3 linked regions of the Ovis aries genome follow. The protein of the gene in region 3 interacts with the protein of the main gene of each other region in a pairwise test. Links are inferred from orthologs where the notes say so. Each region holds a gene or a part of one and is shown on either strand. Other genes may lie near its edges. The genes, in order: TRIM55, TTC19 and TCAP.

The links.
Region 1: the proteins of TCAP (region 3) and TRIM55 interact in a two-hybrid assay, tested with the Homo sapiens proteins (2 studies listed by BioGRID and IntAct). The link is inferred for Ovis aries from reciprocal best matches to the Homo sapiens genes TCAP and TRIM55.
Region 2: the proteins of TCAP (region 3) and TTC19 interact in binary tests that used the Homo sapiens proteins (3 or more experiments, as listed by UniProt). The link is inferred for Ovis aries from reciprocal best matches to the Homo sapiens genes TCAP and TTC19.

The regions. Positions count from the first base shown.
Region 1 is NC_056062.1:43,457,790-43,461,434, forward strand, and holds part of TRIM55 (tripartite motif-containing protein 55), read left to right. Parts: coding exon 1-140; intron 141-2,355; coding exon 2,356-2,451; intron 2,452-3,645. UniProt on the Homo sapiens protein: E3 ubiquitin ligase that plays an important role in regulating cardiac development and contractility, muscle growth, metabolism, and fiber-type differentiation.
Region 2 is NC_056064.1:33,235,549-33,239,968, reverse strand, and holds the start of TTC19 (tetratricopeptide repeat protein 19, mitochondrial), read left to right. Parts: upstream 1-1,542; 5' UTR 1,543-1,592; coding exon 1,593-1,761; intron 1,762-1,840; coding exon 1,841-1,953; intron 1,954-3,268; coding exon 3,269-3,379; intron 3,380-3,805; coding exon 3,806-3,844; intron 3,845-4,420. Other genes in the region: ZSWIM7 (zinc finger SWIM domain-containing protein 7), read right to left, coding at 1,344-1,434. UniProt on the Homo sapiens protein: Required for the preservation of the structural and functional integrity of mitochondrial respiratory complex III by allowing the physiological turnover of the Rieske protein UQCRFS1.
Region 3 is NC_056064.1:39,785,014-39,788,099, forward strand, and holds TCAP (telethonin), read left to right. Parts: upstream 1-1,271; 5' UTR 1,272-1,291; coding exon 1,292-1,401; intron 1,402-1,633; coding exon 1,634-2,027; 3' UTR 2,028-2,488; downstream 2,489-3,086. UniProt on the Homo sapiens protein: Muscle assembly regulating factor. Mediates the antiparallel assembly of titin (TTN) molecules at the sarcomeric Z-disk.

The sequences.
Region 1 (3,645 bases), on a different chromosome or scaffold from region 3:
TGTGTGAGGAGCATGAAGACGAGCGCATCAATATCTACTGTCTCAACTGCGAAGTGCCCACCTGCTCTCTGTGCAAGGTCTTTGGGGCGCACAAGGACTGCCAGGTGGCTCCCCTCACTCACGTGTTCCAGAGGCAGAAGGTAACACGCCCTCCTGCCCCTCCTCCAAAGCCCCTTCCAAGTGTGATTGAAGGAGAGATGCCCACAGGCAGGACCATAGGGCCCTGAGGCTGCAGGGGAGAGGAGGGCGTTGGCAGAGCTGGAAGGACTGCTGCATGCCCAGGAGAGTGGTGGGGAAGGTGGGAGAGGGAAGGGTGCAGAGGGTCAGGAAGGGGTGTGGAGGGGAAAGGTCGCTATTTTTCCACCATTACAGGTTTAAGATGAATACTATTATGGGGCCCAGTCCAAGCTCAAGCTGCTCAAACACTGAGGTTCAGCCCATAGGAAATAAAAGCATAACCTCTTGCTCCAGTCTCAGAATATTTTTCTATGTTTATCAACCAAAGATTCCTTTGGCCCTCCTCAAGGCCTCTTCTCTCCCACTCCTATCTCGTGGAGTTACGATGACTGGCATTTTGTTAAATGTTTCCTTAGGCTAGTCCTCATGCCTGGGTTAAACTGTCCCCCTAGGTCAGCCCAGAAGGCCTCCTTTGGGTCTGACACATGTACCCCCCACTCCAGGGCCTCAGCATCACCCCCTCATTATGAGCAAATATGGGGTCTCCCAGCTTATCGCTAACCTGCCAGCCTATAGCGCACAGGCAGGTAGGAACTTACCCATTTGATGCAAATGAACGAGGGGTTGTGGGCTCAGAGAGCTGTGGCCGAGTCTCAGCATCTAGGATTTGAGCAGCTCCACATCTCAGCTTCTTCCTCTAAGAATCACAGATTCCACAGTTAGTGTTTTACTGACCAAATATAGAACGGGAATCAAATTTGGAAGTCAAACCTTTGGGCAACTCCAGTTACAACCAGTGAGTACTAACTGCTAAAGCAGCAGGATTTAGCAAAATAGCTATACAGTTATTTTTTGTTCTATCCACTTATGACTTCCCTGCCTTTTCCTTTTACCTGCCCCTCCCCAAAGTCACAGCCTATTAGAACTGAATGGTACCTGGGTCACACCATTCCCCTCAGAGCCCTGAGACCACGAAGGATGGACAGAGGCAGGCTGACAGGACTTCCATCCTGCTCCTGTTTGGCCAGAGCAGCATTATTTGATCCACTGGGATTATATATTAGCTCCCATTTGGAAAAAGGGTTCTGCAGCTTTAAATGTTTTACAAACACTGTTCTGGTCCAGTCTTCTCACTTTATGTATGAGACAAGTAGGGTCCAAACTGATTACAGAGTTGCCCAACATCACAGAGAAGCTAAAAGGCAGAGTTGGACCAAGCATGTAGGTTTCCCGAGTCCCATTCATTCCCTAAGTCTGAACAGTGGAATCGCTTCAGATCAAAAGAGCCTGAGGGGAATTTTAAGCTAAAAAAAAATGTTTTCCCCTAGAAACAGTGCAATGTTAGTTTCAAATCTATAATGACTGAGTCTAGTATACGAGTATTTGTTTGCATTTAGTACAGAGAAGGGTGCATCACAGGTATTTGGTGAATAAATGAAATATTTCCCTAGTAAAACTAATCCTGAAGGCTTCCTGGTGGTCCAGTGGTTAAGAATCCACCTGCCAGTGCAGGAGACATGGGTTCGATCCCTATTAGGGAAGATCCCACATGTTGTGGAGCTACTAAGCCCATGTGCCACAACTACTCACGCTCTGCAACAAGAGAAGCCACTGCAATGAGAAGCCTGTGCCCCACAACAAAGAGTAGCCTGCACTCGTGGCAACTAGAGGAAGCCTGCATGCAGCAACAAAGACCCAACATAGCCAAAAATAAATATGTAAATCTTAAAAAAAAAAAAAACTGATCCTGAGCTGCACTATAATTCAAATAATTAAAGGTCCGAATAATTCATGTTGGACCCCTTGATGTCACATATTGGTCTCCATTCAATTTATAAACAGTTCTTAGAATTATTTAGCTTGAATGTGCTATTCGCTGTCTATGGCCTATAATTCAGTGTTCTTAATGTTTTTTGGAAGGGTCACCATCTTCATTAAGAATTTGATGAAAACTGTGAAACTTCTTCCCAGACAAATGCATTTATACACCGATCCTTCCAGGATTTTATTTATAAGATTAGGAGATTCTCAGACCTCCCAGCCTCACTGTTCCTCATTAGGGGGTTCTGTGGACCCTAAATTGAGAACTCATGAGAACAGTAGTACTAAGATGAACCCATAATCAGTGGAGGACTAGAAAGCCCCTAAAATCTTGAATCCCTCTTTTCTCTCCATTAGTCCGAGCTCAGTGATGGCATTGCTGTCCTAGTGGGAAGCAACGATCGGGTCCAGGGGGTGATCAGCCAGCTGGAGAGCACCTGTAAGACGATTGAGGTGAGTCAAGTGGCTTCAAGGGAAGGTAAGCCACGCATAAGCTCTTGGGGTTTTGTGGTTCCCTTGACATAACCGTAGAAATCCCTGCTCCAACATTTCAGTCTTTCCTTATAGAATGACCTCCCTTCTGCATGCGTGCATGCTAAGTTGCTTCAGTCATGTTCAACTCTTTGTGACCCTATGACCATAGCTCACTAGGCTCCTTTGTCCATGGGATTTTCTAGGCAGTGGTTGCCTTGCTCTCTTCCATGGGATCTTCCTGACCCATGGATTGAACCCACATCTCTTATGTCTCCTGCATTGCAGGTGGGTTCTTTATCACTAGAGCCACCTGGGCAGCCCAACCTCCTTCCTGATGTGTCTCTAAAATATTCACCTCCTGGCACAGGAAGAGAACAAGGCAGATTTTACCACATTGATCAAGGTGGTGGTTACATTCGGTGGTGTTTCTTGGGAAACCCCATTTTAAAGGGTTAGCTACAAGAAATATCAATTTGGGGACTTCCCTGGTAGTCCAGTGGTTAAGACTCTGAACTTCTAATGCAGGGGTTCTGAGTTCAATCCCTGTCCAAGCACTAAGATCTCACATGCCACATGGCATGGCCAAATTTAAAATAAAAAATCATTTTCCAAGTAATGACAATGAGTGTTGTTAAAGCAAAAAATTTTTGTGGGAATCCAAATGGTCTTAAGAAATGCTATTTGGCACTTAAGAAAAGTCGTGTGCAGATTTGAGCTGCATGGTGTTGTTGTTCAGTCTCTAAGTCGTATCCGATGTTTGCAACCCCATTGACTCTAGCCCACTGGGCTTCTCTGTCCAAGGGATTTCGCAGGCAAGAGTGCTAGAGTGGGTTGCCATTTCCTTCTCCAGGGAATCTTCCTGACCCAGGTACTGAACCTGTGTCTCCTGCATTGGCAGACAGATTCTTTACTGCTGAGCCACCAGTGAAGCCCAGTGTTCCATTTACCTGTATTCTTACAAAATGTGTATTGCTATCTGCATGTCTTTTAATTTTATAAATGGTATTGTGTTGTACTTCTCATTCTGCTTAATTTTTTTAAAATTAAACATTATGCTTTAAGATCCATTCACATGTACATTCATTCCTTCAGTTTTCTCCTGGGAAAATGGAACTAAGTATCCATTTTATAGAGTTTAACCATGAAAAGTTAAGTAAGTATAAGCATAATGCT
Region 2 (4,420 bases), about 6.5 Mb from region 3:
TGTACAGTATACAAAACATTAAGGCTCAAAGTAGGTAAAGGGAATTCCCTAGACAGTAATGGTGGGGGAGATCTCAGGAGAGCACCCTGGAAGCTCTAGAAGAAAATGAAATGGACAAAACACCTCAGCATCTTGAGTAGAGGATTCAGAACACTGCTAAGAGTTTGAAGTTGAATTATGGATGTGTGTGTGTTTGTGTTAGCCACTTAGTCATGTTTGACTCTTTTCGACCCTATGGACTGTAGCCCGCCAGGCTCCTGTCCATGGAATTCTCCAGGCAGGACTACTGGAGTGGGTTGCCATTTCTTTCTCTAGGGGATCTTCCTGACCCAGGGATCAAACCTGGGTCTCCTACATTGCTGGCAGATTCCTTACCATCTGAGCTAAAAGGAAGTTATTGAATTAGGGATAAACATATAGAAAAGTAAACAACCAAACAAATGCAATCATGACAGTTTTGAGAGGAAGCAAAAAGTTACAGTAAAGAAGTAGTCATCACTTACTACATGGCTCAGCTGTGACTATATTTTACATCATATAAGTGTAAACTCAGAATACTGATCTAAAGAAAATTATCGTCGAAGGAGGGGGCTCAGGAAGAGTGTATGACTGTCTAAGAACAAAGATTTTTAACTAGAAGAAAATGGCTCTGAAAAACGTGAATCGGTGATAGTAGTCTCTATGAGCCCCAAGCCTCAGGGGCGCCCCCTTCAAGACTCTCACACTGTGCTCTTCACACACAACCCTTTCTGGCAACCACTGTTTGAGCTGTCAACAGACTGGTTTCTCCCCCAAGCTTTTTGGGATTAGAGGATGTTCGAATACCTGGCTCGCCTCATCTTTTAAGCACATGTACTGCTTTAGATTTAACTGAAATGAGAAAAGTTGGCTTCCTCCTCTCAATTCTTTAAAAAACAAGTCAAGGTAAATCCTTTTCAAAGTGCGGTCCTTTGCAAACAAACGCCGCCCAAGTGAACCAGCAAGGTTCACTGAAGCCTAACCGATGTTTTGGATGGTCATTCAGATGGCGGCGGTGGCGCCAGCTCTAACGGGGACGCGCTCTGGCCCCGTGCGCTTGCGGCCAGGGGAGTCTGGTCACAGAGCGTCCTCTGCTGGTCAGAGGAATAAAGGCACAGCCACAGCGTCCAGACCCCTCAAGTCCTGCATCTGGGGCCCTGAAACAGTCACTCGTGCACAGAGGTCAGGAGGGGAACCTTTTGGAACAAACACAGACCGCGGGAAGGAAGGGCTACAGGCGAGTTAAGAGGGCGGAGACCTCCCCAGTGGGCCCGGACCCCCGAACCCCGTCCCGCCGGCGCTGCTTCCCGCGCCCCCGCCCATACTCGGCGCGCCGTCCCGCACAGCCGCCGCCATCTCGCTCAGCAGCTCCTCCACCACAGCTGGTAACGTGAGAGGCCCAGTCGGAGCCGCCATGGCGGTCCCGCGTTCTCCGGGGCAGGGGAGGAAGGCGAGGTGACGTAGACTTGCGTCCCGGCGCATGCGGGCGGTCCGGCCAATCGGCGGGCGTTCGGCGCCAGGGGCGGGACTTCCGGAGCCCGTGGCCGCAGTGCGCAGAGGACGCTCTGGGGGCCATGTACCGGCGTCTGGCTGTGGGCCTGGCCCGAGGTCTGTTGCGGGTGGCGGAACGGCGGGGCCGCTGCTACCCGGTGTGCCTGCTGCCCGGGCCGCCGGGAGTTCGGGCGCCGCCGTGCCGAGGGGCGCCGCGCGGCCGAGGCTCGGGCCTACTGCCGCTGCTGGCAGGTGAGGGGTGCAGGCCGGCGGGCCGGGCGGGCCGGGCTGGTTGGGCTGAGCACGGTGACCTCAGTGCCCCTTCCTGCAGCGCTCGCCTGGTCCTCGAGGCCCGCGGCGGCGGAGCAGGAGCGACGGGGCGCGGGCGGGGCTGCAGCCGGGGACGCCGAAGCCGAGATCATCCAGCTGCTGAAGCGAGCCAAGGTGAGGGGCTGCAGCACGTCCCTCGACTACGGGGACCCGGGTGGACGGAGTCGTGGGGTCCGTGCGTTGGGCGCAGGTGGAGGCGGCGCTGCCGGTTGCGAGGTTGCGAGCGCGGGGAGAAGTGCGCACAGGCTGAGGGGAGCGAGGCGGGCCTCTTCTTCCTGAACGTTTTCCCCTCTTCCCGGGGTGCCGGGTCTCCTCCTTTGCGCTGACCGCCGCCTCATGCCCACCGCGTCCACCCGAGTGCCCGCACACGGCAGGTGCGGCCCGCATGCCAACTCTATTTGAGGCTTCAGCTGACCCAAACGAACCTGTGGTCTTAGGCACCCCTCCGACCCCTTCCCTCAGTACCTCTTCTTTTCTGTAGTCTGCCCCATTCTGAGAACTTGTGTGGTACCTACCTACCACCTCCCATATACCAAGAATCCAGCAACGAATTTTTGTATTTTGCCACCAAATCCAAAATCTCGAACCTGTCGCCTCTTCGGTGTCTCCTCCTGTCGCCCTGGCCACGCTGCCACAGCCTGCAGTCTTGTCTGCCCTGTTGCCCCCTGCCATCCAGGCTTGACAGCAACTGGATCATTTAAATGTAAATCAGCTGGTGTCATTCCGTGCCCACAAGCCTTGATTGACCCGTCACAGCGTTTGTGGTAGAACCCAGACTCCTTGCCCTGGCTGGTGAGACCTATGGTCCCACCCCATTGCCTCCCTACTTGGCAGTAACAGTCACCATCAGTTGACATCTGTTGACTTTCATTGTTTGAGTGGTTCTTGAAAGTCCGTTATCTTCAGTCTGTAGCACCTTCGCTCCTTCCCTGCTGTCTGTTTGGGTCAGTTTCCCCCATAGTTCCTTCCTTAGTTGGCTGTTTTTCTTTTTACCTCAATTTAACTGTCGCTTCCTTGGGCGGCTTCTCTTGACTCCATTTGAAGGAAACCCCTTGTTCCTTTCTCTTGCCTTTCTTCGCCTGTATCATTGGTTGTGATTGAGCCCCACCTGTCCTGCAGGAAGAGTGGAGGAGGATGTAGGGCCAGCAGCTCCGCTATAAGAGCTCGTGAAAAGTGCTCACAATCCTGCTGCCTATGTCAGCCAGTGTGCTATATCTGTGGCCATGCGGAGCTGCAGGGGAGCCCCTCTCCAGTCCCCACTGCAGACACCATGCCTTTGCAGAGCAGGGATTCAATAAGTGTTTGAGGAATGAATGACTAGCTTCCCTCTGTGTACTGGGACACGTAGCCCATACTCGCTTCTGTCTGGCGGTGCATGTCTCTGTTCTTTTCGTGTTTCAGTTTCTTTTATTTTGTTTTCTCTTTTCAGTTATGCATCATGAAAGATGAGCCAGAAGAGGCAGAGCTGATTTTGCATGATGCTCTTCATCTTGCCCACAAGAGTCACAACACGAAGGCCATTGCTTACACTTATGACTTGGTAACTCCTCTGACCAGTCTGAGCCGCCGCCAGTGGTGCAGGAGAAGGGCTGTTAGTGTTCCTGATTAGTATTCCTGACCTGCAGGATGTCTCTCTGGGTTTTGTTTTTACTAAGTTTTCTTTAGCTTTCCATTTTTATTACCCTTGAACTGTCACCTGTAAGAAACCTCAACCCCAGACCGAAAAGAAACAGTTAACATTAATATTTGTGTTCTCAGTGAAGAGTGGATCTAGAATTGTTATCATCAAAGTCTATGCACGTACTCTCACCCCATTGCTGAACTTTGCTTCTAGCAGATTAGCAACAGTTTCTGGACTGTTTTTTTAGATAGAAGGTGAAAGCAAAGGGGAGTTTTCAGTGTAAAGATTTTGAAGTAAGTGGAAACAATGCTTTAAACTGAAAAACAACTTATAATCTGCTTTCAGATGGCGAACTTAGCATTTATAAGGGGTCAGCTTGAAAATGTAAGTAAATCATGTTGTAATGTTGTGAATTTGTGAATGGCTAGCTTCAAGGGACCTCTGCACATAAGGGTACAGGCAAAGCTTCTGTAACAAAGAGACCCCAAGATAAAGTGACTGAAATAAGAAGGAAGCGTATCCCTTTAATGCATTAGTCCAGAGGCGGCTGAATCCTGAAGAGGGGTGGGCACTTCTACCCCATGAAGTGACCCAGGAGCCCACATTCCTTCTAAGATGTATTCTCGCCTGAGTACGAGCACTGGCTCACCTCCAGCTGTGGGCAGGGAGAGGATGGAGGGCCAGCAGCGTCCTTGTGAAGTACGCTGTTGAAGCTGTTTGTGTAAACTGCGTGCATCTCTTGGCCGCAGCCTCCTCATATGATTACACCTGAAATGCAAAGGAAGGACCCTTGACCTAGTGGAAACTGAGGAGACTGTACCAGAAAAGGGTAGTTTGCAGTCTCTGCCACAGTGGGTTTGGGTGGGAAGTTGATCTCTGAAGCTGGTTGTACACATCACAGAGTAGTAGTGTGGTTTTCAAGTAGTAGTAGTAGTTTTCAAGGTGCCCAGAGGATGTGGG
Region 3 (3,086 bases):
GGACCACCAGGAAATGGCCCTCCTTCCCTCCCTGCAGGCTTCCTGAGGTGCTAACTTGCATAGACTCAGGGGTGGGGGTGTTGCCTCTTGGGCCCGGCTAGGCATGTGACCCCGGGCAGGTCTGCCTGCCTGAGCCTCCATTTCCCACTTTGCTAAAGCTGTGTAAGATGAAGGCACCAAGGATCGGGTATAGTGCTCAGTAATCAAGAGGGTGCCCACGGGCCTGCCTGCTAGGGTCTCATCACAGCCTCTGCCCCTGGCCTTCCTGGTGCCCTTTGCTTTGTCCACTCAGTGACACCCCCGCTGCTCCTCCCCCACGCCCTCCTCCCTGTGTGCCAGCCTCCTGTCGCACACACTGCTGCTCTGGGGGGCGGGGCTGTCCCTGCAAGCCCTTCAACTGGCCTGCTCCCTGGGGACCAGAGCCAGGCCCCGCCTGGTGGCACCTTGGAGCTGGCAGCCCCCAGAGCTCTTCTGGTAAGGCCACTGTGAACAGAAAGTGAGGAAAACGAGGCCCAGAGGGGGTGGATGCCGCCCCCTACTCCACAGCCTCATTATGGCTGATTTGGGGGCTGGAGCCAGAACTGGCTGCCACCCACTGGAACCGCTGGAGTCCCATCTCACCCCAGCTGAGGAGTGGGGTAGAGTCGGGGGCCGCTTCCCTCCTCGTTCGTGTCCAGGATCCCAGGGGTGGAATTAACTTCCGATGCCCTTGCCAGTGAGGTGGTGGCAGTTGGGAGCCAGGCCTTTGGGGGCAGACGCCTGAGGAATGGCACTGTCCCTTTTGGTGGGGGGGCACGGTCCAGGGGGTGATGTGCCCTTGAGCCCAGGCAGAGGAGAGCAGCGGGGACAGGACCTGACGGCCTGGTACAGCGCCCAGAGGGGCCCTTGGTTCCTACTGTTTCCCGCTCTGTTTACAGACATGTCCTCCCTGGGCGAGGGGAAGGGGTGGGGCAGACGGCAAGTGCCAAGGTGGCACGAGGCTGGGCATGTGCCTGGTCATGGGTAGTGTCTTGAGGAGTGTCAGACACCTGGAGGTGTCACTCTGGGGACCCCCGCCCCCACGGGAGCATCTTGATCTCCTCAGAAGCTGACCTCTGACCTGGGGGCAGCCAGAATCCGGGTACCCCCCCCCCAGCCCCGCCCTGGGCTCAGAGTCCCCCATCAGTGAGTCTTGGCTCTGCTTATAGCATCTGACGCCAGAGGGGCTGAAAATAGCCCCTGAAAGAGGGGGAGGAGGGGGATATTTAAAGGGCCTGGGAGGAGGAGAGCCCAGAGGGAGTGAGCAGCCATCATGGCCACTTCAGAGCTGAGCTGCCAGCTGTCGGAGGAGAACTGTGAGCGCCGAGAGGCCTTCTGGGCGGAGTGGAAGGATCTGACGCTGTCCACAAGGCCTGAGGAGGGGTGAGTGCTGGCCAGTCAGGAGTGCCCCGTCCTCTCCCTCAGAGCACCCTTCCTGAGACTCAGGAGACCAGAGCACAAGGCCTGAGGGGTTCTGGGGGTGGGGCCCAGGAGGGTGCCTGCTGGGGAAAGTGGAGTCGCCCCTCCAGCAGCCCCAGGGAGCTCTGTCGCCCCGCCGGTGAGTGGCGGGCAGCAGCTCTCAGGGGCTGAGTGTCCCTCCGCTTCTCCTTCCCAGTTGCTCCCTGCATGAGGAGGATGCCCAGCGCCATGAGACCTACCACCGGCAGGGGCAGTGCCAGGCGCTGGTGCAGCGTTCCCCCTGGCTGGTGATGCGGATGGGCATCCTCGGCCGTGGGCTGCAGGAATACCAGCTGCCCTACCAGCGGGTGCTGCCTCTGCCCATCTTCACTCCCGCCAAGGTGGGCGCCACCAAGGAGGAGCGCGAGGAGACACCCATCCAGCTGCAGGAGCTGCTGGCACTGGAAACAGCCCTGGGAGGCCAGTGTGTGGACCGCCAGGACGTGGCCGAGATCACCAAGCAGCTGCCTCCCGTGGTGCCTGTCAGCAAGCCCGGCACCCTTCGTCGCTCCCTGTCTCGCTCCATGTCTCAGGAAGCACAGAGAGGCTGAGAGGGACTGTGACTTGGGCTCCACTGTGCCTGCCCTGGGCTGGGCCCTTCCTGGCTAGGACCATGGAGGGGAGCTGCTGGTCACGGATGCTTCGTAGTTTGCCCAGAGTTGGGGGCTAGGGGAGGAGGGAGCCAGAGGCCAGGATGCCTGGATCTCCTGAGTTCCCGGAGGGAGGGGAGCGGACGATGGGCACAAAAGGTGAAGAGCTGGGGGCCAGCACAGCCAAGTACCCCCAGCCCTAGGAGGAAGGGCTGAAGAAGCTGATGAGGGCAAGAGGTTCCTGAGAGGAGTAACCCCAGTCCAGATTTCAGCTTCAGAAAAGGATGAAGAAAAACTGTAAGAGGATCTGGAGTGCTCTGGGAAGGAGACTGGAGGGAGGGGGACGTGAAGAGGGCAGAGGCAGGGTGGAGCCCCCAGCACCCTCTGTTAGTGCTGCAATAAATGCTCAATCACGTGCCAGAGTTTCGTCTCTTTCCTTGTGGTTGAGGGGCCCACCCATTGGTGTCCCCCCCAGTGCTCACTTCTGGGAACAGGCCCTGCATCTCAGCTAAATATGGCAGAATTAGTGGGTCACCCCATGCTTGAGGGGAGGGGCTGTAGGGACAGAGCTGTAAACAGGGTGGCTATCTGCCTAGTCCCCCTGACTGCCGTGAGCCCTGGCCTCTGCCTCTAGTCCTCTGGCACTGTGCAGTGCCCAGGAGGCCAGTTGGCATCCAGAGTTTATTGAAATGATCTCATGGAGAATAAGGAGGGGGCTGGCACCAGGACTGTCAGCTGTGCCAGGGTGTGGATGGGGTCAGTGACCCCAGGTCTCTTGGTTCTGAATCCAGACAGAATCAATCCTTGGCTGGGGTCAGGTGTTCCACCCTCCGTGGCCTGGGAGCCCAAGGTGGGTTGTTGGGGGTAGGGTGAGTGTGTAGAGGGTCAGGTTCCTGTCTGTGACCTCTGCAGCTGTTGCAGTAACTCATGCCCCAACCTGGCTGCCCGGCCTAACTAGAAGACAGTTTCTCTTGGACAAGGTGTGGGGGGCGGGTGGCACGGAGGAGGCCTGGGCCCCAT